Oryctolagus cuniculus: one gene and its partners. The protein of the gene in region 4 purifies or fractionates together with the protein of the main gene of each other region. This does not show direct contact. Links are inferred from orthologs where the notes say so. Each region holds a gene or a part of one and is shown on either strand. Other genes may lie near its edges. The genes, in order: POLR3K, CRCP, POLR1D, POLR3H, POLR3G, POLR3GL and POLR2L.

Region 1 (4,052 bases), on a different chromosome or scaffold from region 4:
ACAATTATAAAATAACAAATATTATAATTATAATATTTATTATAAAATAACAAATATTATTTTTGTTGCTTTATAATAACAATAATTATAATATCTTCCTTTTTTTTTTTTGACAGGCAGAGTGGACAGTGAGAGAAAGAGACAGAGAGAAAGGTCTTCCTTTTGCCGTTGGTTCACCCTCCAATGGCCGCCGCGCTGCGGCCGGCGCACCGCGCTGATCCGAAGGCAGGAGCCAGGTGCTTCTCCTGGTCTCCCATGGGGTGCAGGGCCCAAGCACTTGGGCCATCCTCCACTGCCCTCCCGGGCCACAGCAGAGAGCTGGCCTGGAAGAGGAGCAACCAGGACAGAATCCGGTGCCCCGACCGGGACTAGAACCCGGGGTGCCGGCGCCGCAGGCGAAGGATTAGCCTAGTGAGCCGCGGCACCGGCCGAAGGCAATATCTTCCATTCTGAGGTGCTTACATCATCCAAGTGATCAGATGAGACAGGGCACAGTTAGCAACCTCAGGCCACTCCCAGCTCGGAGTCAGAAAAGGTTCCCCTCACCTGCAGTGGAGTCAACATTCTCCCAGGCGGCCGCTCCCCCAAGCACGTCGTCCACTTCTTTCAGCTTCGGATACTTCCGGTTTGTGACCTAACAGAAACAAGTCCTCAGCCTCCAAGCAAGGGGACAGGACCACCAGGGCAGAGAATGGAGGGAGCCCAGCAGACGCACAGCCGTGAGGAGGAGGGGAAGTGACAGGCGCTAACCATGTGTGCGCGAGAGTGCGCGGCTGGCCGGCTGGGCACCCCGGGGCTCCAGGTGCGTGCCAGGCCAGTGCGGGCGGCTGGCCGGCTGGGCACCCCGGGGGCTCCAGGTGGGTGCCAGGCCAGTGCGCGCGACTCGCCGGCTGGACACCCCGGGGCTCCAGGTGCACGGCAGACCAGTGCGGGCGGCTCGCCGGCTGGACACCCCGGGGCTCCAGGTGCACGGCAGACCAGTGCGGGCGGCTCGCCGGCTGGACACCCCGGGGCTCCAGGTGCACGGCAGACCAGTGCGGGCGGCTCGCCGGCTGGACACCCCGGGGCTCCAGGTGCGTGCCAGGCCAGTGCGGGCGGCTGGCCGACTGGACACCCCGGGGCTCCAGGTGCGTGCCAGGCCAGTGCGGGCGGCTCGCCGGCTGGACACCCCGGGGCTCCAGGTGCAGGGCAGACCAGTGCGCGCGGCTCGCCAACTGGACACCCCGGGGCTCCAGGTGCACGGCAGACCAGTGCGGGCGGCTCGCCGGCTGGACACCCCGGGGCTCCAGGTGGGTGCCAGGCCAGTGCGGGCGGCTCGCCGGCTGGGCACCCCGGGGCTCCAGGTGCAGGGCAGACCAGTGCGCGCGGCTGGCCGGCTGGACACCCCGGGGCTCCAGGTGGGTGCCAGGCCAGTGCGGGCGGCTCGCCGGCTGGACACCCCGGGGCTCCAGGTGGGTGCCAGGCCAGTGCGGGCGGCTCGCCAGTTGGACACCCTGGGGCTCCAGGTGCGTGCCAGGCCAGTGCGCGCGGCTCGCCGGCTGGGCACCCCGGGGCTCCAGGTGCACACCAGACCAGTGCGCGCGGCTCGCCAGCTGGACACCCCGGGGCTTCAGGTGCACGGCAGACCAGTGCGGGCGGCTGGCCGGCTGGACACCCGGGGGCTCCAGGTGGGTGCCAGGCCAGTGCGGGCGGCTCGCCGGCTGGACACCCCGGGGCTCCAGGTGCAGGGCAGACCAGTGCGCGCGGCTCGCCAACTGGACACCCCGGGGCTCCAGGTGCACGGCAGACCAGTGCGGGCGGCTCGCCGGCTGGACACCCCGGGGCTCCAGGTGGGTGCCAGGCCAGTGCGGGCGGCTCGCCGGCTGGGCACCCCGGGGCTCCAGGTGCAGGGCAGACCAGTGCGCGCGGCTGGCCGGCTGGACACCCCGGGGCTCCAGGTGGGTGCCAGGCCAGTGCGGGCGGCTCGCCGGCTGGACACCCCGGGGCTCCAGGTGGGTGCCAGGCCAGTGCGGGCGGCTCGCCAGTTGGACACCCTGGGGCTCCAGGTGCGTGCCAGGCCAGTGCGCGCGGCTCGCCGGCTGGGCACCCCGGGGCTCCAGGTGCACACCAGACCAGTGCGCGCGGCTCGCCAGCTGGACACCCCGGGGCTTCAGGTGCACGGCAGACCAGTGCGGGCGGCTGGCCGGCTGGACACCCCGGGGCTCCAGGTGGGTGCCAGGCCAGTGCGGGCGGCTGGCCGGCTGGACACCCCGGGGCTCCAGGTGGGTGCCAGGCCAGTGCGCGCGGCTCGCCGGCTGGACACCCCGGGGCTCCAGGTGCGAGCCAGGCGGCCGGACAAACACAGGGAAGGAGGCCTGCCGAGGCCTTCTGCCCTGGACCGCGCTCGGACCACAAGGCAGCAGAAGGGACCGAGGGGGGCGGGAGCACTCCAGGGAGCGCGAGTAAACGGAGGCCGCCCGAGGAACGCCGGGCGCCACGCGGGACGCGGAGCGGCACCGAGGGCGGCCGCGGCCGGAGCTGGAGCCGCCGCCCTGCCCCGACCAGGCGACTCCGAAACCAGCCCCAGAAGGGAGGCGGCGGCCGGGCCAGGCGAGAGGCGCCGGCGTGCGCGCGTCTTGGACAGATGCGCCCACAGGCCAGGGACGCGAGGCCGGGGCCGCCGGAGGCCGACCCTAACGTCGAGGCCCACCTTGCGGGTGATGTTGTGCACGTAGGGGCAGGTGTTGCAGGCGAAGCGGTGGCAGCGCTGGCCCTCCTCCACGATCAGCCCGTTCCCGCAGCCGGGGCAGAACAGCAGCATGGCGGCGCCCTGGCCCGCGCGCCCCCACGGCCGGAAGCTCCCTGGCCGCGCGACGCCGACACCCCGCCCACCTCGACCTCACGTTGGTCCCGGCGGCCCCCGCCGCTAGCCCACCAATAGACACGCCGACCCTCGCTCCCAGCCGGCCCTGCGGCAAGCCGCCTCGCACTCCCATTGGTTGGGGCGCCCGCCCCGCCCCTTGGCCCGCCGGTGGTTGGACGTCCTCACGGAGGTGGGCCCAGTCCGCGTCCGTGCTCCGCCTCCCGAGCGTGGAGTGGCTGGGCCGGCGGCCGGCGGCTCCGGGCTGGCGACCGTGGAGGCAGCGGAGCAGGCCGAGGAGGCCGAGGGGCCCGAGGTGCCGGAGGAGGATGAGGACGAAGAGGAGACGCTGCCTCACTCGGAAGCGGTGGACGTGTTCCAGGAGGGTCTCGCCATGGTGGTGCAGGACCCGCTGCTCTGCGACCTGCCGATCCAGGTGCGCGCGGCCAGAGCGGCCACCTGCCGCCGGAGAGGTGCTGATGGGGGACTGCGGCCGGCCTGGTCCGGGCCCGGCGTGAAGGGGCAGGGGAAACGGTGCCAAACTTGATGCAGAAGGTTGTCGGTAAAGGACAGTTGAAGAATGGGAGCTCCGGCTGCTCCGCTCCCTTCCGGCTCCCTGCCAGCGCTCCTCGGGGAGCGGCGGAGGGCGGCCCAGTGCCTGGGGCCCGGTGAGGCTCCCGGCCCCTGGCTTCGGCGTGGCCTAGCCCTGGGTGCTGGGGCCGTTTGCGGATGGAAGACTCGTGTTTCTCTCCCCTCTCCTTCCTCCCCGCCCCGCCCCCGTCAAATAAGTAGATGCAGAGGCGAATTTCCTCTAAGAAAAGTGTTATACTGCAGTCTTATCACTGCCGTGTGTTCCTGCCTTGTGTATTTTGCACACATGCCTCCCACTTAGTCCAGGGCTCTGGCCTGGATCCTGGTGACCAGGGGCTCTTGGGCAAACTGAAAGGCCCAGCGTCTCCCTCCTCCCCCCCCAGCAGCCCCTGGGGGCTCACTCTCCCTGCTTCCACAGCCATTCGGCATGAAATAGAGAAGTCGGGTGGAACCTGAGACTGAGGTGCTAAAGGGAGCCCCTCCCCCGGCCCTCCATAAAGTTTGGTTCCGTTTGGGCTGATAAACAAAGCCAGGGTTCCCACTGCCCCTGCTTGGCGCTTTCTAGGTGACTTTGGAAGAGATCAACTCCCAGATTGCACTAGAATACGGCCAAGCGATGACG
Region 2 (3,500 bases), on a different chromosome or scaffold from region 4:
CTGGGAGGCAGCAAGTGATGGTTCAAGTAGGTGGGTCCCAGTCACCCAAGCAGGAAACCTGGACTGAGTTCCCAGCTCCTGGCTTCAACCTGGGCCAAGCCATTGCCGGCATTTGAGAAGTGAAACAGCAGATGAAAGCTCTGTCTCTACCTCTCAAAGAAATGAATAAGTAAATAATTTAAAAATCAACATCAGGTAGCAGGTTAAGCTGCAACCTGCAACACTGACATTCCATACGAGCAATGGTATCAGTCCCGGCTGTTCTCTTCCAATCCACCTCTCTGCTAATGTACCTGGAAAAGCAGTGGAAGACCCAGATGGAGCTCCAGGCTCCTGCCTTCAGCCTAGCCCAACCACGGCCGCTGTGGCCATTTGATGAGGAGACTAGCAGAGGGAAGATCTCTGTGTCTCTCTCTTCAACTGTCTAGGTTGCTTTGCCTTGCAAATAAATCAATCTTTAAAAGCAACAACAACTGTATCCTTTCCCTGTGATGCATGTACAACAGTCATGACTATAATAGCTTTCAGTCAGATCTGTGAGTCATGCAGTAAATTACAGAAGCCTCAGGATGAGGATTCCCAAATATGGAACTGGGGTTCAGAGGTGAGGGCAGTCAGACTATTCCTTCCACTTTTGTGGCTAACTAACCACTTCTGTTGGCCAAATCACCCCCACTTTTATATAAACAGAATAAACACTGGGTTAGAGTAACACTCCGCACATGAGGTAAGAGGTGATCTTGATTGGGTGGCCAGTTATCAGCAGAGTAAACCAACAGCGCTCAGTGGTGGCTTAGGGAGGCCTCCAGAAGCCCAGGCTTACTTCATAGGTGATAGTATTCAAGTTCTGTTGCCCAGAACTCTGTTTATTCTTCCCACTTTGTTTACGCCGCTCTTTCAGATCAGTTAGTAACTGGAACACCTAGGAAGAGATATACAAAAGACTTTATAAATACATTTGAGAAACGTTCTATTCCAAGGTCCATGATACTGGAAGATAATTAGGGGGTACGGCACTGTGGCATAGTGGGCAAAGCCTCGGCCTGCAGCACCGGGCATCCCATATGGGTGCCTGTTTGAGTCCCAGCTGCTCCACTTCTGACCCAACTCTCTCCTTATGGCCTGGGAAAGCAGCAGAAGATGGCCCAAGGGCTTGGACCCCTGCACCCACATGGGAGACCCAAAAGAAGCTCCAGGCTGCTGTCTTCAGGTTGGCCCAGCTCCAGCCATTGTGGCCATTTGGAGAGCAAACCAGTGGATGGAAGATTTTTCTGTCTCTCTCTTTCTCTCTCTAACTCTACCTCTCAAATAACTAAATAAAATCTAAAAAAAAAAAAAAAAAAAAATTTTTTTCATGTACATTTAAAAAAAAAGACAATTAGGTAAGTATAATACCTCTTTCTTCCTTACAACCTGCCTCCCAACTCTTGGATTGGAGTAAATATGAATCCCAGAAGCATGAGACATTTAAAAAATGCTCTTTTATCTAAATCAAATAATCCAAATTATTTTAATTAAAATATTTCAAATGTTTCCTATCAGTATATGCCATCTAACTGATCTCTGATCTCAAAAAACATACCAGATATTTCAAAAATATATAAATATTTTTATATTTAGATAAGAGTATAAAATAAATAAATTTTGCTAAACTAAATATATAATATTTTTAAAAAGGGTTTTGTTCCTCTAATATGAAAATTTAGCATAATAATTTCTTTCCAGAAAAGAAAAATTATGAAGCAAGTGATTTAATAGTTTTCAAAAAAGAAAGGACGAAATGCTACATTTCCCAGCAAGAGAAAAACAGATGTGTATCCATGCTGGGGTGGGAGAAGGGATCTCTGCTGTTTCAGAGACTCTGCCAGAAAATGGAGGGAAATACAGGCTCACAGACCATTATTAGATACAATGCAACTCCTATCCCTGCCTGCTGTTCCTTTTACAAATACATGGGGCCCAGTGAATGCATGGTGTCCCCAATGGACAAAAGATCAAACACCTAGCAAAGTTCAAAATGGACAAAGAGGTTCCTAAAAGCCAATGGGCTGACCAACAGACATTTCCTTCCTGTTTTAAGCAGCAACCATTTAGGATGAACCTTTTGGAAGGAATACAGCCAATCGTGTTTATTCCAGTACCTTCTCTAAATATCACACAATGGAAACTCAGACCTCCTTTAACTCTTTATGAGTTTAGACTCTGGCATATGGAAAACTGGGCCTGTCAGATGCTGGTACCAAATAGGCCCTGTGCAAAATAGGTACACAAAATACTATCACATCTCCTCCTTCATCAACCTCTTTCTTTCCTCCCTTTCCCCAGCAACCCTACCCTGTAAGTCCCTTAAATTTTAAGTCTTCTAATCATTCATAATGGTGATTCAACTAAACCTTTACTTTCAAAACAAGGATGGTACCACCTATGGACTGAGGATCAAAATAATAATGTATAAAAAAGCATTTCATAGGTAAAATGGGTAATTATGAAGAGAAATAAGCATTTTATTAGAAAACTTTTGCACACAGAAACAGTGCTAAAATAGATGGCTTCCATCCCAAGAAGGCATCCCCAATGGTTACTAGAATTTTGAGGACTTAGAAAGTTTGCTTGATTTAAAGTCTTCCCATCTTCCCAGAAATACTACGTATGATTTATCAAGCCTCAAATAATTCAAGATCCAACCGACAGGGCCGTCTATCCTGTTTTAAAAGTGAAAACCCGGCCGGCGCCGCAGCTCACTAGGCTAATCCTCCGCCTAGCGGCGCCGGCACACCGGGTTCTAGTCCCAGTCGGGGCACTGGATTCTGTCCCGGTTGCCCCTCTTCCAGGCCAGCTCTCTGCTGTGGCCAGGGAGTGCAGTGGAGGATGGCCCAGGTGCTTGGGCCCTGCACTCCATGGAAGACCAGGAAAAGCACCTGGCTCCTGGCTCCTGCCATCGGATCAGTGCGGTGCGCCGGCCGCGGTGGCCATTGGAGGGTGAACCAACGGCAAAGGAAGACCTTTCTCTCTGTCTCTCTCTCACTGTCCACTCTGCCTGTCAAAAAAAAAAAAAAAAAAAAAAAAAAAAAAGTGAAAACCCAAATGAATCCAGTAATTTCTAACTAAATCTAATTCAACAATCCCCAGAAGTAAAGAGATACCTTTCTGGGAGAAAAACATATACAACAGTCCACTTCAAAGCCACTTACCTCATAGTTACTGAGCAGTGCAGAATTGGCATCCTTCCTGCAAAAGAAAAGTAAGTTATTATCAGTCCAGGCTTATACCCTTCTCTGGGTATTAAATATCATAAAAGAATCCAGTAATCCAGTTCAGCAATTTGGGGACTACATCCTAAAACTGAGAAATGTCCTAAATCCTACATGGTTTAGCAGGTTGTAGACAACTTCAGAGTGTTCTTTCTTTTTTATATCCACAGCATATCACACACCCATCACCAAGCAGATGATTAAAATACTATACTTGTCCCAATTCTATACAGGCAGAAGTATGAGTTC
Region 3 (4,014 bases), on a different chromosome or scaffold from region 4:
TTTCTGCTTCAGGGCCTCTGTACATGCTATTCCCTCACAATGTTAATTTCCATCATGAGAGCCTTCTCTTCCTGTAATCTTGGGAAGAGCTTCCCTGACTTCCATACCTAAAGCAAAATTCTCTCTCATGCTTTCTATCTTGATATTGTATTTTCTTCCCCAGAATTACAACTTTTTAAAAATATTGTTTCTCTTATGCAACACTTATTGTGTCTCACTATTATACCTATCCCCAAGGTACAAACCAGAAGCTCTATAAATAAATATCTTTAAAGAGGCTCTAGGGCAGCTCAACTAAGAGTTACTGAAAAGCTAACATGCCATAACTACCTACAGGGATTCATCTCATATTTACTAAGTGTCCACCTGCTGTCCAGTGTTGTGCTAGGTCCCAGGATCACACGAATAAATAGGATCAACTAAGGCCCCAAAGCACAGTGCATTGGGATATGGGAGTGCTCAGGCTCTAGGGTTGACAGGTATTTAGGATAATTGAAGAAGGAAGTTCTGGTATGACTGGTATGAAAGATGTTGAAGATGTAGACAGATACAATGGCTCTTGGATGTGATTTCACTAATATTTCAAGTTTTCCAAGTCATTTTCTCCACATGGTATTTTCCCTCTGTGTCCTTTCTCTCAAATAGTGTTTCTTCTATATGACCCTAGGCTACAGTTGGATACCTACTTAGACTAAAAATGTAATTTGCTCATTCCAGGTTTCTCCTCAGGCAGTAAACAATTATTCTATAGATGGTACAAAGATGGAGCTGGATAACTCCTGAGACCCTCATGTGAAACCAGAATTCTCAAAATTCTTTCAAATTATTCCCTAACCTTACCCAATCCCCTAAGAGAAAAGGATACAACTTTCTCATCAGTAAAATATCTAAGAAGCCAAGTCCACATCCTGACCTTCTTTCTTTTTGAAACCCACCAGTCTATCTGCGTAATGGTCTATTCCATCTCCTCTTTGCCTCACCACCCCAATCCTAGTCAGGAATGTATACTCCTTTTGATTCCCATGATGAAACCACTATTTTGGGTGCCTGATGCTCTGTTTTATCACTTTAAATGTTGGCTCTACTGCAAGCAAATAAAGTCATCCTTGAGGATGTTGCAAGGAACAGAAACCACTCAAAAATAGTTTCAATAAAAGAGGGAATTTATTAGGAGAATACACAGGTTCTTGCGGGGATTCCAACAGCTGTGATGAATGGGTCAACAGCTAGAACCATTTTTTTTTTTTTTTTTTGGAAAGATAGAGCAGGTTGTTGTAATCACAAACTTCTAATTCTGGGTTCTGCACAATCATGAAGAAGAGTATCCCAGAGATTAGTCCTCCTTGTATCCTGCACAAGGGACTAGAATGTGGATTCACTTCTGCTTGCTTTTTGATCCTTATAGTGCTTTATGCTGGCCTCAAACTTGTCAAGCACATGTTGGCAGACATTCATGAGCTCATTCAGCCCTCTCTGAAATGGCTCAACAGCTGGAAGAGCACCTCGAGTCTGAATGCGCAAATTAATTTTGCTCTCTGAAGGATGGGTCGTAGTGTAACCACAAAATTCCACTTCCGGGTTCTTCATAATCATGTAACGCAGAGAATTTCCTAGGGTATGGTCCTCCTCGTGCAAAACAAATGTCACACAGTGTCTATCTGTTCCAGCTGCCTGGACCATTTCCAGGGCTGTCTTCCTCTCGCCTTCGGCCATTGAGGTCTTCAATCCAGACATTTTTCTACACACATATTTTTTATAAAAGTGAGATCATACTGAATATTGTAACTAGCTTTTTTTTTCATTTACTATATCACAATTGCCACACATCATTACTCTAATCCACAGCAATTACACACAGAACTGTCAGCCTCTCTCTTTTCTGCCTCCACCACTTCTACCAATGAATATTTAATTTGCTGACTCCAGTTTCTCCCTGCTCCATTAACTATCCACGTGGGCCACACGGAGCATCTTCTTAGAAAAACATACACTTAAGTGTCTGCAAAGACATTTCTTTTGGAAGAGTCACAAGAAAGGGATATAGCATAGGGTGAGCCCTGCTGGAAGAGGAAAAGGGAGTTGAAGGTGTAGAAAAACACAAGATTGCTCCAGCATATAAACAGAGACTACAGATTATCAATGTGCAGGCCCAACTATGGCTTCCACTTGCAAGAGGTAAGGAAGCTAGGAAACGGTAAGAGCTGAAACAGTACAGCGGGAGGGAGAAACAGAACTCAGCGCTTTGAGGCAGGGCTACACGGCTAACAGTCTGCACGGAGGAGGAGGGAGAGCGGTAGTGACGGGGGGGCTTAAGCCGGACTGAATACGCCGCTGTTCTAACGGGGTTGGGCAGTTTCGGGACCCAACTCTGCTCTGCCAACTGGTCCGCCCTCCTCGAGAACTACTGTCCCTCGGAGCGCCTCTATTCAAACACATCCACGACTCCTCCCTTCTCCTCCCCGTCGGGCCCTGTTCCCTCTCTCAGCGTCCCGGGTCGGGCCCCTGCTGCTCTGCAGGGCCGCGGAGGTTAGGCCCGGGCCGGGCCGCGTGCCCGGTACCGCCCGCTCCCCTGCCTGGGCGCGGCCTACTCCGCCCGCCCCGCCCGCCTTCTCGGCCGTTACCTCTCCAGCTCTTGGTCGTCCTCCATCGCGGGTGCCGGTTCCAGGATCCTCAGGTGGTGCTGGCCGATCGGAGGCTCTGCCCCATGCCGCGAGCTGAGCGGCTGAGGCAGGAAGGAAGGAACGACGGACGGAAGAAGGCGGCGACGGAAGGAGGGAGGAGGAGCCGCAGCGGCGCGGCAGGGTCCGGGCGCTGGGCGGGACGTGGAGGCTCCGCCCCCGGCCCCGCCCCCGGCGCGAGGAGGGCGGTGGCGCCGGGCCCGAGCCGCTCACCTGGCGCGCCCCCAGCCTGGCGGCGTGCGGGGCGAGCCGGGAGGAGGGCGGCGGAGGGCCCGCTGGCGTCGCACCCGGAGGCCCCGGTCACAGTGCGTGCGCCCGAGCTCCACCTTTGGTACCGTCTCCCCAACTGGTGGCGAAGGGGGCAGGGCCTTACCTGCCGCCCCCACATCACCTCCCTTCTTGGGACCCAAGTCCGGCCTGCTAGACTCGACTGGAACCCTGTGGCCTCCCGGGAATCCAACCTCTTGTGGGACCGCAGGCTTGGGCTATACCGTCCTTAAATAGGAGGGGCTGAGTCTCGTTAACAGAACGTGGTGCTTCAAGACAGTACTCAGTGGGGTTCTTGCAGCTAAGCATCTCCCCCGGGACACAGGACAAGCGTTTACCGTTTTCCTTAGGGGAGAAGTGGGAGTTTGGGAGCACACTCACCCACCCCGTCCTTTCCTTCCCCCGGCCATGCACCTCCCTTCCACCCTTTTCTTTACCCCTTCTGCACCCCACCCCCGGGGAACCTCCCTCTCATCTTTGTTCCCAGGCGTCCCCTACCCCGCTTCGGCAGCCTTTCCTCGGCGGGGTTCCCTCTCCGGCCCCTTCCTCTCTGGGAGTGTTCAGTGCTGCTCCCCGCTGCTCACCCCCGGCTCCCGCAACCTCTCTAACGCCGGCCAGCCCCGGTCGCTGCCCTCTACCCCGGCTGTCCTCTCGCCCAGCACACCTACACGCCTGCTCTCCCGCGCCACCTGTTCCCCTCGACCTCCCCCCACCCCGCTCCGTGCGTCCCCTGCTCAGCTGTCCCGCTGTCCCCGCGGCTGCCCGGCGCTCGCTCACACACTTGCCGAGCGCCTTCCACAGAGGAATCAGGCGAGCGGCGGGGACAGCCCCAGGCGGGTGGGGGAGGGCGAGGGGCGAGGGACGGAGTAGGTTCACTCTAACCTAGGAATGACGGCCCCTCCTGGTCCGCCCCCTGCGTTCTCTGATAGGTGGATCCGCCTCTGATCCGCCCCCTCCCCGCCCTGTGGCGCCGCCGATTGGCCCAGCAGCGTGTCGGGTTGGGCCGCTCAGCCCGGCGCTCGCCCCCGGGAAGGCAGCAGGGGCGGTTGAGAAGTGAAGTCTTGGCCAG
Region 4 (4,171 bases):
GTATCTCATATGGGTGCTGGTTTGGGTCCTGGCTGCTTCCCCACTGATCCAGCTCTCTACTATGGCCTGGGAAAAGCAGCAGCAGGTGGTACAAGTGCTTGGGCCCCTGCACCCATGTGGGAGACCCCGAAGAAGCTCCTGGCTCCTAGCCTTGGCCTGGCCCAGTGCTGGCTGTTGAGGCCATCTGAGGGAGTGAACCAGTGGATGGGAGACCTCTGCCTCTCCCTCTTTCTCTGTAATTCTCACTTTCAAATAAAAAAAACAAAATGAAAATCCAGTTATTCCCATATCCACCAATTTTATATTATTTTTATTTTTTGACAGGCAGAGTTAGCGAGAGAGAGAGACAGAGAGAAAGGTCTTCTTTTTTTCTGTTGGTTCACCCCCCAGATGGCCGCCATGGCCGGTGCTGTGCAGATCCTAAGCCAGGAGCCAGGTGCTTCCTCCTGGTATCCCACACGGGTGCAGGGCCCAAGCACCTGGGCCATCCTCCACTGCCTTCCCGGGCCACAGCAGAGAGCTGGCCTGGAAGAGGAGCAACCAGGCCTAGAACCCGGTACCCACATGGGATGCGGGCGCCGCAGGCGGAGGATTAACCAAGTGAGCCATGGCGCCGGCGCTTCCACCAACTCTTAGAGGCAGCACGGGTATAAGCTTAGAGGGGCTCATCTCTGGCACGTGGCAGCCGGTGGCCCTGGACAGCTTGCTGAGTTCTCTTAGCCCGCGTTAGTGTCCTGTCAGAGGGACAGGACAGGATCCTGGGGGGAACAGAACGGGCAAAGCTGGAGAGAGGTGCCAGGGCCAGATCGCACAGAGCCCAGTGAGCCGCCAGGAAGGAAGGTTTTGGACTTTATTCTCAGTTCAGCGGGAAGCTACAGAGGAGTGTGTGTGTGTGTGTGTGTGTGTGTGCGCGCGCGTGTGTATACTATATATATATGCACTGTTATATATTCTATATACATACACTATATAGAGACTATATATATAGTCCCAATTGATTATCACTTCAAATTGAGATGTAATCTGCCTACAATGAAATGCACGGAGTCTGATGAGAGCTGTCAGCTCTACGAAGAGCTAAAAGGGGGTCGAGAATATTTCCATCACCCAGGAAGGGTCCCTCCGTTCTACTTCCCTGTCAGGGCTCCCCGACTCCGGGCGGAAGGTCGGAAGCATTGCCGACTTGCGTTTTGCAAGGATCGTTCCGGATGCGGGGACCCGCAAGCAAGAGATGCCCCAGCCCGGGAGAGCGGCAGGGGGTTGCCTAGCAACGAGAGGCGCCGCCGGGTCTTCCCGGGGAGGCCCCGCCCCTCCCCGTGCGGCAGCCTGTAGAGAGCCCCGCCCCGCGTCTGGGGGCGGACAGAAGCTTCTTATTGGTCGGCTCTCCGGAAGCGACGGGATTCGGAATCTCGCGCACGGTGGTTAACTCCCGCAGCTGCGTGCCGTGCGCGGTGCGAGGCGGCGGCGCGTGGTGCGGGCGCGGGGCGGAGGGGCTCTCGTGCCGTGCGCTCCAGCGAGGGCGCTGCCCGCCGGGCCTCTGTTTCCCGTCGCTTCCGCAGCCGAGCATGGCCCTCGCCGGGCGCCGCAGACGCTACCGCGCAGCCCCGCTGTTGGCCTGAGGGGGGCCGGTCGGGCACGGGGCTCCCAGGACCCCAGGCCCCGGTGCGTGACCGCCCGTCCCTCTCGCAGAGCCGCCAGCGCAGGCCGGGATGTTCGTCCTGGTGGAGATGGTGGACACCGTGCGGATCCCCCCCTGGCAGTTTGAGAGGAAGCTCAACGACTCCATCGCCGAGGAGCTGAACAAGAAGCTGGCCAACAAGGTGCGGGGCGGAGCGTGCCTCACGGGGGCTGGCGGGGAGCGGGGGAGAGGCCGAGGACGGGCCTGAGAAGGGGGCTCGTGCCTGGGGCGTGCGCGCTCGCACAGCGCGGGTCCCTTCGTCTGCGGCGAGTTGCCGGCCCGCCGCAGGTGCGCCGCCGCTGGGGCGCGGACCAGCCGTCTGACGCGGGATGCAGGTGGCCCCGGCTTAGCGCGCGCCCGTCACGGCTCTGTTCCCTCTCTACCTCTGCCTGCCTGCTCCATGCCTGTCTGTTGATGGAGTGGATGAGTGGCGGAGCGGTGTCCCGACCAGCAGGCGGAGCGGGGGTCCCTTCGTTGGGCGTGACGAGTTGGGGTGCACGCTGCCAGGGACTGGTGCTCGCGAACCTGTGGCACGAGGGAGCCGCGTCCGCAGCGAGGGGGTCAGGCAGCTGTGGTGGGAGCCGGCGGCCAGGCTGAGCCCTGCTGGCCGGGAGGCGCTGACCAGAGGGTTTGTGGGTGGGAGAGAGGTGTGCAGGGCCCCGGCCCGGTGGGCGGAGCCGGGCGCCTGTCCTGGAGGCGCTGCGGCTTGGATGGGCGGGGGCGGGAGGTGGCGGCAGCCCGCGGTCACCGTGTGTCGCGGCGCAGGTGGTGTACAACGTGGGACTCTGCATCTGCCTCTTCGACATCACCAAGCTGGAGGACGCCTACGTGTTTCCAGGCGACGGCGCGTCGCACACCAAAGGTAGGCGTCTTCTCGGGGCTGGGGCTCCTGGCAGAGATGGCCGGGGTCCTGTCCCACCTGGGGACCCTGGAAGTGGGCAGCCCCCTCCCCCTCGGCCTGAGCGTCTGCCGGGGCGGGGGTGGATCGGCGACTCTCAAGGCCTCTCTGGGTCCGAGGCTGTGGTCCATGGCTGTGCCCCTCCTCCCGCCCACTGCCAAGCCCTGTCTGCCTGGTGCTCTGGCCACTCACTGCCCTGGGAGAGGGCAGGCCAGGAGCGTGGGGACGCCGGAGTGGCCCTCGCGGTTAGAAGAGAGAGGCAGGCCGGCGCCGCGGCTCACTAGGCTAATCCTCCGCCTAGCGGCGCCGGCACACCGGGTTCTAGTCCCGGTCGGGGCGCCGGATTCTGTCCCGGTTGCCCCTCTTCCAGGCCAGCCCTCTGCTGTGGCCAGGGAGTGCAGTGGAGGATGGCCCAGGTGCTTGGGCCCTGCACCCCATGGGAGACCAGGAAAAGTACCTGGCTCCTGGCTCCTGCCATCGGATCAGCGCGGTGCGCCGGCCGCAGCGCGCTGGCCGCGGCGGCCATTGGAGGGTGAACCAACGGCAAAGGAAGACCTTTCTCTCTGTCTCTCTCTCTCACTGTCCACTCTGCCTGTCAAAAAAAAAAAAAAAAAAAGAAGAGAGAGGCAGAGGGAACGGAAGAGCAGGCCGGGGGGGACCTCAGGGGCACAGGACGCAAAGCTTAGCACTGACCTTGCGAGCTTTGGTGCGCGCCCAGCGCAGGGGTGTCTGCATTCCGGCACGTGCCGGGAGGCTGCCAGGCGTCTGTCCCGGCATCCCGAGAGCTCACTGGTCCACACGGTGTTGCCGTGCGGTGCAGAGAGCACAACAGGCTGTCTGTATGAGTAGAAAAATCAGACCGTGGCATGGAAGCCGTCTTGAGGGCCCCTGGCCACAGAGGAGGCCACCAGGCCAAGCCTGGTGTGCACTGGACGGGGCCTGGCTGTCCAGGAGACAGGTGGTCACAGGCACGAGGGCCTCGAGGAGAAGTGAGGTCGCAGGGATCTCTGCTCGCTTGATTTCTGACACCTGGTGTAGGGTTTGCACCGCTGTTTTGACTTATGTGTGTATTTATTTATTTTGAAAAGCCGAGTTAAAGAGGGAGAGACAGAGCTTGTTCATTTGCTGGTTCTCTCCCTAAATGGCCACAACAGCTGGGACTGGGCCAGGAGCTTGGAGCTTCATCCAGGCCTCCCACATGGTGCAGGGGCCCAGGCACTTCATCCGGGAGCTGAATAGGAAGTGGAGCAGCCGGGACTCGAACTGGTGCCCACCTAGGTTGCAGACAGCTGCTTCATCCACGACACTACAACATCGGCCCCTCCCACTTCTATTTTTTATGTATTTTTATTTCATTTCTTTGAAAGGCAGAGTTAGATCTTTCATCCACTGATTCACTCCCCAGATGGCCACAACAGCAGGGGGCAGGCCAGCCGGAAGCCAGGAGCTTCATCCGGGTCTCCCACATGGCTGGGAGGGCACACTTTGAGCCATCTCCTGCTGCTTTTCCCAGGCCATTAGCTGGGAGCTGGATTGGAAGTGGAGCAGTGGGACTATGAACCGGTGCCCGTGAGGGGTGCTGGCACTGCAGCCTA
Region 5 (3,500 bases), on a different chromosome or scaffold from region 4:
TAAAAGTAACTTTAAAATATTTACAAACATAAAAACAAATTGGATCCACATGATATATGAAGAAAATTGTTTCTTGGTGTTCCGAAGCATGCTCCCAATGTCCCTAACAGATTCACACAAGCACTTGGAGGATTCGACATACTTTTACATTAGACTTTTAAAACTTTTAAAACCACCACATTCAGTTACGCAAATCTATCCCCGATCGAGAGAAAAGACTACTTGTAAAAAGACTGACGGGTTGCAGCCAGCACTATGGTGTGGCTGGTTAGGCTGCTGCCTTCAGTGCTCACATCCCATATGGGTGCCAGTTCAAGTCCCAGGTGCTCCACTTCTGATCCAGCTCCTTGCTAAGGCTTCTGGGAAAGCGGTGGAAGACGGCCCAAGTCCTTGGGTCCCTGCACCCACGTGGGAGACTCAGAAGAAGACCCTGGCTCCTGGCTTCTGATCTGCCCAGCTCTAGCCATTGTGGCCATTTGGGGAGTCAACCAGCAGATGGAAGACCTCTTTCCGACTATCTCTCTCTAACTCTGCTTTGCAAATAAATAAATAATTTTTTTAAAAAAAAGACTGAAGTATACTTTGTACTGAGTATTTTAAACAGAACAAGCATTTATTTGGTCATACTGTGAGGGGTCAGACGGGTTAACAAGTAGTCAGGGTGGTCCCGGTAGAAATTCAGGGTGCAGAATGCTTCCCCCCAAAGTTACTTTTAGCAAGATTAAAAGAGCCTGCCTGATACTCCTTAGCAATTTCCAGTCTTACCATGAGAACAGCTAGGGAGAGGTGATTCCATTCTTCTGAGCTCTCAATTTACTATAAAGTAAATTAGGTATCCTACTCTTGGGACAGCTCTTTTGTTTTCTCATGAGCAACTGAGACAGGGTAAAAAGATTACAGATCAGGTCTTTTGATGGGTTTTGTCCCCGCCTTACACTGATTGACAGCTTCTTCTCCAAAACGGGGCTTAAAAGCCCCAGTAGCACCAGCCCCTGAGGGCTCTGCCCCTCATGGAGCCCTAGCAGGCCACTCTGGCCGGAGGTCTCTGACTCTAACAAATCTTGCTTTTAACTCCTTGTAAATGCTTTCTCTCTGCCTGGTCCGCTTGGAAATTCTTCCTCCATGTGAGACAAAGAACCGAGGTAACATTTTCTCCACTGCCATTTCACCCGTAACAATACTTTGTTCAGTTTATGAAATGAAAGCTTTTGCTACGAAGATTTTTTTTATTGACTTGAAAGGCAGAGTCAGAGAAAAAAATGAAAGTTTTAATTCCAATTTTTCAACTCAAAGAGGTGAAACAGACAATAATCATCAAAGTAAACACACAGTACTTTGAAGCAAACTCTCTCGCATCAAACCATTATATAACTTCAAGCGTATTGAAAATTCAATGAGCTTGTCGAAAATGCTTTTTACAATCCCAAGTACATGACTTCCTGCTTGGCGGTGAGCCACTTTTAAGTCTTTTAGAGAGAGGGAAAATGGAATGCATTTTTAATACTAATGCAATGAGATGATCCTTGATGAATTTCTCCTGTTTTAATGATGTTGTTTTGAGCAACCTAAGATGATATTGATCTCCAATTTCAATCAAGGGCAGATGCTGAAGATCAATGCAACTGCTCAGAAGGGGCTTCCCTGCCTCTAAAGCCACTTCCCACTTCCTGCTGGAGGTTGCTGTGCCTTCTCCAGCCAGAGGCCTCCTCTCTGCTCTTAGCTTCACCAGTGAGCACATTATTTTATTTTATATTTTCCATCATAGCAGATATACCCATGACTAAACAAACCTAAGGATTTTTAAAGTTTGTAACTTAAATATTAAGTAATGGGAGACATGTAGGCATTTACAATAATGACAGCAATCACAGCATTATATATATAAACAAAAAAAACCTAAATCTAATAACAGGGAATCAGTTGATTAATAATGTTATATATAGCCTGACAACAGCTAATACACAATCATTAAACTCACATTTTTCAAGAATAATGAGGATATGTGAAAATACTAATAATGTGCTACTGAATACAAAAATTAAGATATGAAGTCATATGAATCCAATTCATTAAATACATACAGAAAAAAGTATGCACGCTATTCACTAAAAGCTTACTAGTAGTCCTGTAGACACAGCCATGGGTAATTTTTACACGTGGAAATTGGAAATTTTTGTTTTTCATAATTTTCTTTTTTTTTCTGGACAGGCAGAGTGGACAGTGAGAGAGAAAGAGACAGAGAGAAAGGTCTTCCTTTTCCGTTGGTTCATCCCCCAATGGCCGCTGCGGCTGGCGCATCGCGCTGATCTGAAGCCAGGAGCCAGGTGTTTCTCCTGGTCTCCCATGCGGGTGCAGGGCCCAAGGACTTGGGCCATCCTCCACTGCACTCCCGGGCCACAGCAGAGAGCTGGCCTGGAAGAGGGGCAACCGGGACAGAATCCGGTGCCCTGACTGGGACTAGAACCTGGTGTGCCGGCACCGCAGGCGGAGGATTAGCCTATTGAGCTGCGGCGCCAGCCATCTGTTTTTCATAATTTTCACTAATCATGTATCACTTCTACTGTGAAAGATATTTTTTAAAATATCAAAAAATCTGGGAGCAGCACTGTGGCATAGCAGATAAAGCTACCTCCTGCAGTGCAGGCATCCCATACAAGAACCAGTTTGAGTCCTCGCTGCTTCACTTCCAATCCAGCTCTCTGCTATGGCCTGGGAAAGCAGTAGAAAATGGCCCAAGGTCTTGGGCCCCTGTACCCATATGGGAGACCTGGAAGAAACTCCTGGCTCCAGATTGGTGCAGCTCTGGCCATGTGGCCGGTTGGGGAGTGAACCAGCAGATAGAAGACTTCTCTCTCCCTTCTTCCCTCCCTCCCTCTCTAACTCTGCCTCTCAGATAAAATAAATAAATCTTAAAAAACCCAAAATCCTTATTTTTCTTCTGTTAAGCCCCATAAACACGGTTTTTTCAGGGTAGTTGTTAAATTCTGAATAAACTGAGTGAGCATGAAATGAGAACACATCCTGTGCTTACCCACTGGTCCATGTATTTACATTAAATTCACATGATCAGAGTCCAATACACACCTTGCTTCTCTTCGGGCGGCTCAATGAAATAAGGCATCCTTTTCATTGTTTCTCTCAGCTCCTGTTTCAAGGCCAGCATGTAATCTTCACCTTCCCCTGTTTTCAGTGGCACTGGCTTATAATCTGTATCCTATTAAGAGACAAAGAATGTTTTAATGCCCCATGTTGTTTATTTTCTAGAAAATATCAGTTTTACTGAAAAACCATGTTTTACTGGGCACTAAGCTCTACGATCAATTCACAAGGTGCTGACCTGCTCTGATCTACCTTAACCTTTCAGCCCACTTCCCATCTTGCCCTTCTTTTCGAGGTGGGAAAGAGACCAACACTCGTTCTGCTGTGTAGTCTGCTGATGAATGTGACCTCATGTTGCAAAACACAAGGCACCTGGGGCCGGCACAGGGTACAGCAGGTTA
Region 6 (4,060 bases), on a different chromosome or scaffold from region 4:
TGGGAGAGCCTGGCGCCCCCGCATGCGGAGGGGCAGGCAGCGAAGGCGCCCGACCTCCGGCTTGGGGACGAATGTCGGGGATGGGAGGGTGGGGGCTGACGTTGAGCGGAGGCAGGAAACCTGGGCGCGTTTGCGAGATGTGGTCCAGGAGCAACGTCCCGGAGCCCCTCCGCTCCAGCAGCCCGGGGCTCCGCCTCCGTCCGCTCAGCGGCGATACAGCCCCGGGCAGACTCTCCTGGGACTGGCGCGGGGAGGGAGCCGAGCCGGCTAGAGGGAGGGTCAGCGGGGAGGCGCTGTATCGGCGACGCTCCAGGGACAGGCGACTGGACTCGGGCGAGTCGGGGCAAAGATGTCCGGGGGTGTCGAGCTCCACCGGCTCCATGCGGCTGAGCTTCTGCCTCAACCCCGAGGCTGGGCCAGACTCCTGAGCCTCGGGCGCTGTGTTCCGGCGCGAGAGAGGCCCCCCGCCCGTCACTTTCTCCGCCCACGGGGGCGGGTCCTCCGGGCCTTCGGTGCTGTGACGTCGGGAAAGACGGGGTCTGCCGCTCAGGGTCAGCCCGTTGAAGTCGGCGGTCAAGCGCTCGATCCCCGGCCTCCCTTCGGCGGGCGGAACCGGCTGTGGAGGGGCCACCAGGCCCCAGGGCTCGGAGTTGAGCCTTTTGAGTGGTTTCGGGGGATGGCGGGGCGGTTTGGGGAGAGGCTCTGAAGGGGAAGGGTCATCGGGGGGTTTAGGAAGAGGGAATTCGAATACGTCCCGCTTCTCCTCCTCCTCCTGGGCGCGAGGGGACAACAAGCCACGCCCTCCTCCTGCAGTCTGCAACTGGATTTCTGAAGGCGACGTGCAGACTCCCGGGCTAGGTGGAGCGGGAGCAGGATCCTCCACCCCCGGGGACGGTGGAGAATTGAGATACTGCCGCGTCTTCTTGGTGCCCGAGGGCGACGTATCGGTAGTGATGATGATGACCTCCGTGCCCTTGGCCTTGCAGGCGTCCAGCAGTGTGGCGAGGGTCTCGCGGTCCCCACGGTCCAGGGCGTGGACAAGCGCCGAGGCGCCTGCGTGATCTCTGACGGAGGGGTCTGCGCCGTGCTCCAGGAGCAGCGAAGCCACCGCGGCGCCCCCACCTCCGGCGCAAGCATGCATGAGAGCCGTGCGCCCTAGGCGGTCTGCGATGTTGGGGTCCGCGCCTTGCTCCAGGAGGTAGCGTACCATGCGCGCCTTGTTCTGGGGGTCGTCGTAACGGGCCCGACAGGCCGCCATTAGCGCAGTCTCCCCCTGGGCATCGCCCTCATTCACGTAGGCGCCCCCCTCCAGAAGCAAACGGGCCAAACGCAGCTTACCCTGACCCACAGCCCGAAGCAGAGCGTGGCCCTCGGTGTGCAGCATAGCTGCGGCTGGAGAGAGGGCACTGATGGAGCCGGGTCTGGGACCTGCCGCAGATGGCTAGGGGTCTGGGGGTGGTGCTTGACAGAGGCCTGGGGTCTCAGTGATGAAGCTGAACCCTACAAGAAAGAGATGGATCATATTGGCGGATTCAGCAAGGAAACTGAGGCACCGCTGGAGGCGTCCGGTGTGAGGCGACACACAGTCCTGCCTCTAACTCGTGCCTTGGAGCCTCCCCTTCCCCCCAGCGCATGCCTGAGGAGGTGGGAAGGGTGCACCCGCGCTGAAGGGTGAGCGCGCGTGCAGCTGCGTACGTGCACGCGCAGAGACATCCGTACCCCCACTCTCACCCCCACGGCTTCTCAGACCTTTCCAGCATCCCCCTTTTCTTACCCACACTTGGAATCCCCCTTTCTAGGATGCTGAACGCCACCCACCCACACACATGCTCCCGTATAAACACATATTCCCATTCCTAACCTCTTTTAGGTTGCCACAGCCCCAAAAATTGAGTAGGGGGAGGGAAGCAGCTTGCATTTGGGACCTAAAACGGGTGGAGGGAGAATTGGGGGTTTCTTTTGCTCCTGCTGTATTCCCCATCACTCCTTGCTCTTTCCCCTCCCAGGCTGTGCACCCAAATAGATACCTGAATGTCCGCAGAATCTCTGCCTGGCCAGGATTGAGGCCGTGTTCACCGGACAGCCGGGGTGGCGGAGCCAGGTTCCCAGGGGCCCACATGGCGTGGGGGGGCACCCGATTCCCTTGGTGTCAGAATCTGCGCCCCGGCACCGGATCCTGGTCCCTCCTCCCGGTGCGCCCCGGGCACAGCGCCGGCTCGGGAGGAGAGAAGCTGGGGGGGCGGGGGGGAAGGGGGCGGAGCTCTCCTATGCTATTTATAGCCCAGTCTCTGCGGGTGGGGGCGTCCGGCAGCAAACCGCTCCCCCACTCATGCACACATAAACCCTGAAAAACCTGGAGGCTCCAATCTTGACTTCCCTTATCTGAGCCGACCTCCCCTAAGCCCCAACAAACCTAAAGTGTCCCTTAGGGGACGACTCCGAGACCACGACAGCGACCATCCGAATTCTCGGCAGAGCCTCAGCAGATCTCCATTCTCCGCATTTGGTGTGCTTGTGCGCCAGACTTAACCTGTCACACACCGCACATGACACACTGTGCAGAGGGGTGTAGCCAGTCGATTGGGATCCGGAGCCGGCATCCATACGGTAGTGTGCAGAGAAACGGGAGGTCTGACTGCCTTCTTGCAGTTGAAATCCCTGGTAGATCACGGTCCAGTCAGGAATCAGACAGGGAGGTACATCACTACCCCACCTCCACCAAAAGGGGACACACAGCACAGAGAGCCTCAGCTCCTTTATGCAGACCCCTTAGATGAGCAGGAAGGAAAGTGGATGTCTGGGGGCATTTTTACATAGGGCGAGGGGCGTTCCCAGGTGCCGCCTCCTTCTAATCTTGGGAGGAGAGACCTACTAGAAAGGGGGCAGGGAAAGGAGGGAACCAAGTAACACCTTCTCTCATTGCATTTCCTTACTCTCAGTCTTGCTTAGACTCTTTATTTTTCCATCTTGCTTGAAGGTCTCTATTCTGGTTGCTCTTGGTGTTTTCTGTCTTCCTATCTGTCACTATCTGTCTCTCTCACTGTCTGCCTCTCCTTGCCACCTGCCCTGTCTCCATGGTTACCATAGCTTCCATCTGCATATTTTAGGAATGAATTTCTGTCCAGCTGGAAGGTACCAAGGGAAATGGGGGAACGAGGAAAGAATGCTAAGGATCTGAAAAGTTCACCTAGGGTCCTGAGATAATTTAGACTGGAGGTCCGCAGACACAAGTGTCTAAAAATAACATCCCTGGGGCTCATGAAGTGGTCTAGCAACATAAGGGAAGGCCTGTTACCAGGCATCCTGTATAAGTTCTGGTTCAAATCCTGGTGGCTCCATTTGCAACCCAACTCCCTGCTATTGCGCCTGGAAAAGCAGTGAAAGTGACTCACGTGAGAGACCTGGATGGAGTTCCTGTCTCCAGATTTCAGTTTGGCTTCCTGTCTCCAGATTTCAGTTTGGCTCAGCCCTGGCTATTGTAGCCATCTGGAGAATGAACCAGTGGTTGGAAAATCTTTTATTTCCTCTCTGTAACTCTTCTTCTTCTTCTTCTTCTTTTTTTTTTTTTTTTTTTTTTTTTTTTTACTTTTGACAGGCAGAGTGGACAGCGAGAGAGAGAGAGAGAGAGAGAGACACCCCCAATGGCCGACGCGGCGGGCGCATCGCACTGATCCAAAGCCAGGAGCCAGGTGCTTCTCCTAGTCTCCCATGGGGTGCAGGGCCCAAGCACTTGGGTCATCCTCCACTGCACTCCTGGGCCATAGCAGAGAGCTGGCCTGGAAGAGGGGCAACTGGGACAGAATCCGGCGCCCCAACCAGGACTAGAACCCGGTGTGCCGGCGCCACAAGGCGGAGGATTAGCCTATTGAGCCACGGCGCTGGCCTGTAACTCTTTTTTTTTTTTTAAAGATTTATTTTATTTATTTGAAAGGCAGAGTTAGAGAGAGAGGTAGAGAGAGAGAGAGAGAGAGAGGTCTTCCATCCACTGGTTCACTCCCCAACTGGCCACAACAGCCAAAACTGTTTCGCTCTGAAGCCAGGAGCCAGGAGCTTCTTCCAG
Region 7 (2,923 bases), on a different chromosome or scaffold from region 4:
GCGTAGGGGTGCTGGCGTCTCCAGCTGGCCCTGGGCCCACTGTGGTCACTGTGGCACAGGCAGTGAGCAGACGAGGGGCCTGCAGGTCCTGCCAGGAGCCGGGGACAGCTCTGCGATGCGGCCAACACCCTGGGGACAGCAGTGGCTCGGCCACCATGGCCCTGCTCTGCCCTGGTCCCCGTCCCCAGCTGACCGCGGGCTCGGCCCCGTGTGGGTTGCTGGGAGTAGCTGCTCCCTGGCCCTCAGCCTGGGCCCGCAGGGACAGCCCGGGAAGGGCCCCCGGGAGCCTGAGGGCGCTCAGGGCTGGTGCGACCCCGACAGGGCCACAGGGTGGGGACCCAGGCAAGGGCAGCCGCTGACCGCAGCAGGCAGTGCAGGCTCGGACGAGCAGCCACGCTGGGTGGGCGGGGACCAGGGAGCAGGAACCAGGACCCCGAGACAGCTGGGCCAGGTGGACTGGGGGGGGGGGGGCGGAGCGAGGCCAAGGAGGGGACCAGTGGTGTTTGTGCAAGGACTTTACTGGGCGGCTGGCGACATGCGTGCGCGCGGCCCGCCTCTGCTCCCGGCGTCTGACAGCCCGGCCGCGAGGACGCAGGGCAGGACGCCGCGGGCCATGGCGGGGCGGCGCTACTTCTCCAGGGGCGCGTAGTTGAGCAGTTTCTCGATGAGGTCCACGTGGGCCAGCAGCATTCGGCGGCAGCAGTAGCGCTTCAGCCCCAGGGCGTCCAGGGCGTCCCTGCGACCAGACAGCAGTGAGGCGGCCTGCGCCGGGCTCGCCCCCAGCGCGCCCCTTCCCACCCGGGGGCTCCGGCCTCCCGGCCCAGCCCGGGCCCAGCGGCCGGAGCATCCCTGCGACCAGACAGCCGGGCTCGCCCCTGCTCCAGGCCAGGTGGACAGGTCCCCCCAGGATGCACCGGGGAGGAGCCACCCAGGGCCACCCCTTCCCCACCCAGAGGCTCCAGCCTCCCGGCCCAGCCCCGGCCCGCCCTCTCCCAGGCTGGGCTCACGGTGGCCAGGGCAGCCCCGGCGCCCCCTCCCCCGGGGGCCGGGACTCCCGACCACGACCGCAGCCCCGCGGGACCCCCACTCTCAGGGAGCCACCCTTCTACTTCCGGAAACCAACGAGACGCTTCCAGAAAACTCCTGCAGCGCTGGCTCCGGGGGGCGGAGGAGGCGGCTTGGGAGTGAGAAGGCGCGACCGAGGGGCCTCGGCAAAGCAGCCCCTGCCCCTCCGCCCCGCCGCAGCCCCGCGTCAGCCCGCGGCGCGGGACAGGAGGCGCGGGTGGGCCCGGTCCCCGCCCCGCCCCGCCCCCGGGCCCCACGCGCCCGGCGCCTCACCCCTCGGTGTACTCCGCCTGCAGCAGCCCCAGGTAGGCCTCCCACTTGTTGCCGACGATCTTGCCGCACGTGAAACAGCGCACCGGGATGATCATGGCGGCGCGCACTCCGCGGCAGCCCCGCGCACTGCCGGGCCCGTCCGCGGCGCTGCAGGCCCCGCCCCGGGCGCGCCCACTGGCGCGGGGTTCCTCGGCGCCGATTGGAGGCCGCGTCCGGCGGCGCCCCCCGTCCGGCGGTTTGGTACGTGCCGCGCTACGGCGACTGGGCTCGGCCAAAAGGGCTCGGCGGCGCCGGTTCGCGTTTCTCGTGTCCGCTTGACTGACAGCTGCGCGGCGGGAGCGGACGACGCGGTGCGGCGGCGGGAGGCGGCGGCCCAGGTACTACGCGGGCGCCGGCTGGACCCGGACGCGGACATCAGCCGCGGCGCGCGAGCGCCACCTCCAGTGCGGAGCCCCAGGCCGGTCGCAGCAACAAGTGGGGCCGGGCGAGGGGCCCGGCGAGAGGGTCTGGCCCCGGGGCGGGAGGCCTCGGACGGACCTTCCCGCCTCCCGGCCCGGCCCGGCCTGGACCCGGTCGCTGTCCCTTGAGCCCTGCGCGAGGCTCGGGTCCCCGCGGGGAGTTGCTGGGAGCCCCGACGGCAGTCTGTCGGCGTCTTGTTCGCTCTTTCCCGGGCCTGGCGCTGGGCGTGTGGTCAGCCCCTTTGAGCTGACCCTCGAAGGCCAGGGCCCCCGCGTAGGGGCAGCCCCAGCTGTGCGTCCCCTTCAGGGGCTCCACGGGCGGGGCTGCTGCCTCCCGGGTGGACCGGGCTGAGCCTGGTGCCCCGGCTGCCCCAGGCGGGCTGGGGAGCCGCAGGGCTGTGGGGGTGTTGCCCGTGGCCCCCGCGGGGCTCTGGCCAGGTTTGCTGGCCTTGGATGTGTGGCCGGGGCGGGGTCCTCACGCGGGACCCCGGCATCTGCTGAGTGCCCGCTCAGGGCAGACGCTGGACAGGGACGGGGACGAAGGGTCTCAGGTCCGGAGTGGGGCTGCCCAGAGCCACTGCCCTGCCAGGGTTAGTGCCCTCTCGGCCACGTGCGGAGCCACGAGCCCTGGCCACTTCCCTTCTCTGCCTCCCTCCCCCAGGCTGAGTGGACGCACATCCTGCCCTGGCCAGAGGGGCAGGATGGGGCCGTGAGTCACCGTGGCCTGGGGTCAGACCCAGGCTCGGCGGCCGCGGCTGTGGAGGAGAGGGAGCCCGGGTCCGGGAGGCCAGCCCGGTGGGCGCCCAGCGCGTGAGTGGGGCCTTCCTGGGGGAGGGGTCAGGGGCCTGCCCCGCCCCTGCTCCCACTGGGCGCCGCTGTTTACTGTGGGAGTGGGGGAGTGAGCCGCCCTCCCCTGCGGGGGCCCTGGCCAAGGCGGCATTCCTGGGATTCCGCGTGCGTGCCGACCTGAGGTGGGGGGGCTCCCGGATGTCCCCCAGCGCGCCCCGCCCCCTCTGCACTTGCGCCTGCTGGGGAGCCTCGAGGGGTCAGCCCTGGCCTGGCCCGTGGTGGCGTGGGGGGCAGCAGCTGGGCCTCTCTGGGGAGGGTGGGGGGCTTTCCTGGTGGTG

The links.
Region 1: the proteins of POLR3H (region 4) and POLR3K purify together in Homo sapiens (affinity purification with mass spectrometry; 3 studies listed by BioGRID and IntAct, with this or other methods). This does not show direct contact. The link is inferred for Oryctolagus cuniculus from reciprocal best matches to the Homo sapiens genes POLR3H and POLR3K.
Region 2: the proteins of POLR3H (region 4) and CRCP purify together in Homo sapiens (affinity purification with mass spectrometry; 4 studies listed by BioGRID and IntAct, with this or other methods). This does not show direct contact. The link is inferred for Oryctolagus cuniculus from reciprocal best matches to the Homo sapiens genes POLR3H and CRCP.
Region 3: the proteins of POLR3H (region 4) and POLR1D purify together in Homo sapiens (affinity purification with mass spectrometry; 6 studies listed by BioGRID and IntAct, with this or other methods). This does not show direct contact. The link is inferred for Oryctolagus cuniculus from reciprocal best matches to the Homo sapiens genes POLR3H and POLR1D.
Region 5: the proteins of POLR3H (region 4) and POLR3G purify together in Homo sapiens (affinity purification with mass spectrometry; 5 studies listed by BioGRID and IntAct, with this or other methods). This does not show direct contact. The link is inferred for Oryctolagus cuniculus from reciprocal best matches to the Homo sapiens genes POLR3H and POLR3G.
Region 6: the proteins of POLR3H (region 4) and POLR3GL purify together in Homo sapiens (co-immunoprecipitation; 4 studies listed by BioGRID and IntAct, counting the BioPlex papers as one, with this or other methods). This does not show direct contact. The link is inferred for Oryctolagus cuniculus from reciprocal best matches to the Homo sapiens genes POLR3H and POLR3GL.
Region 7: the proteins of POLR3H (region 4) and POLR2L purify together in Homo sapiens (affinity purification with mass spectrometry; 4 studies listed by BioGRID and IntAct, with this or other methods). This does not show direct contact. The link is inferred for Oryctolagus cuniculus from reciprocal best matches to the Homo sapiens genes POLR3H and POLR2L.

What each region holds. Positions count from the first base shown.
Region 1 is NC_091450.1:34,570,322-34,574,373, reverse strand, and holds the start of POLR3K (DNA-directed RNA polymerase III subunit RPC10), read right to left. Parts: upstream 2,801-4,052; coding exon 2,690-2,800; intron 635-2,689; coding exon 547-634; intron 1-546. Other genes in the region: SNRNP25 (U11/U12 small nuclear ribonucleoprotein 25 kDa protein), read left to right, coding at 3,234-3,275, 3,996-4,052. UniProt on the Homo sapiens protein: Core component of RNA polymerase III (Pol III) which synthesizes small non-coding RNAs using the four ribonucleoside triphosphates as substrates. Can mediate Pol I proofreading of the nascent RNA transcript.
Region 2 is NC_091450.1:66,207,975-66,211,474, reverse strand, and holds part of CRCP (DNA-directed RNA polymerase III subunit RPC9), read right to left. Parts: intron 3,229-3,500; coding exon 3,192-3,228; intron 923-3,191; coding exon 824-922; intron 1-823. UniProt on the Homo sapiens protein: DNA-dependent RNA polymerase catalyzes the transcription of DNA into RNA using the four ribonucleoside triphosphates as substrates.
Region 3 is NC_091440.1:86,895,497-86,899,510, forward strand, and holds the start of POLR1D (protein POLR1D), read right to left. Parts: upstream 2,801-4,014; 5' UTR 2,648-2,800; coding exon 2,622-2,647; intron 1-2,621.
Region 4 is NC_091442.1:117,537,247-117,541,417, reverse strand, and holds the start of POLR3H (DNA-directed RNA polymerase III subunit RPC8), read left to right. Parts: upstream 1-1,371; 5' UTR 1,372-1,451; exon of another isoform or gene 1,452-1,471; intron 1,472-1,689; 5' UTR 1,690-1,709; coding exon 1,710-1,820; intron 1,821-2,443; coding exon 2,444-2,540; intron 2,541-4,171.
Region 5 is NC_091445.1:13,209,319-13,212,818, reverse strand, and holds part of POLR3G (DNA-directed RNA polymerase III subunit RPC7), read right to left. Parts: intron 3,215-3,500; coding exon 3,085-3,214; intron 1-3,084. UniProt on the Homo sapiens protein: DNA-dependent RNA polymerase catalyzes the transcription of DNA into RNA using the four ribonucleoside triphosphates as substrates.
Region 6 is NC_091438.1:48,928,009-48,932,068, reverse strand, and holds the start of POLR3GL (DNA-directed RNA polymerase III subunit RPC7-like), read left to right. Parts: upstream 1-1,500; intron 1,501-2,006; 5' UTR 2,007-2,101; exon of another isoform or gene 2,102-2,192; intron 2,193-2,413; exon of another isoform or gene 2,414-2,543; intron 2,544-4,060. Other genes in the region: ANKRD34A (ankyrin repeat domain-containing protein 34A), read right to left, coding at 1-1,384. UniProt on the Homo sapiens protein: DNA-dependent RNA polymerase catalyzes the transcription of DNA into RNA using the four ribonucleoside triphosphates as substrates. Specific peripheric component of RNA polymerase III which synthesizes small RNAs, such as 5S rRNA and tRNAs.
Region 7 is NC_091432.1:353,577-356,499, forward strand, and holds POLR2L (DNA-directed RNA polymerases I, II, and III subunit RPABC5), read right to left. Parts: upstream 1,504-2,923; 5' UTR 1,434-1,503; coding exon 1,339-1,433; intron 737-1,338; coding exon 628-736; 3' UTR 501-627; downstream 1-500. UniProt on the Homo sapiens protein: DNA-dependent RNA polymerase catalyzes the transcription of DNA into RNA using the four ribonucleoside triphosphates as substrates.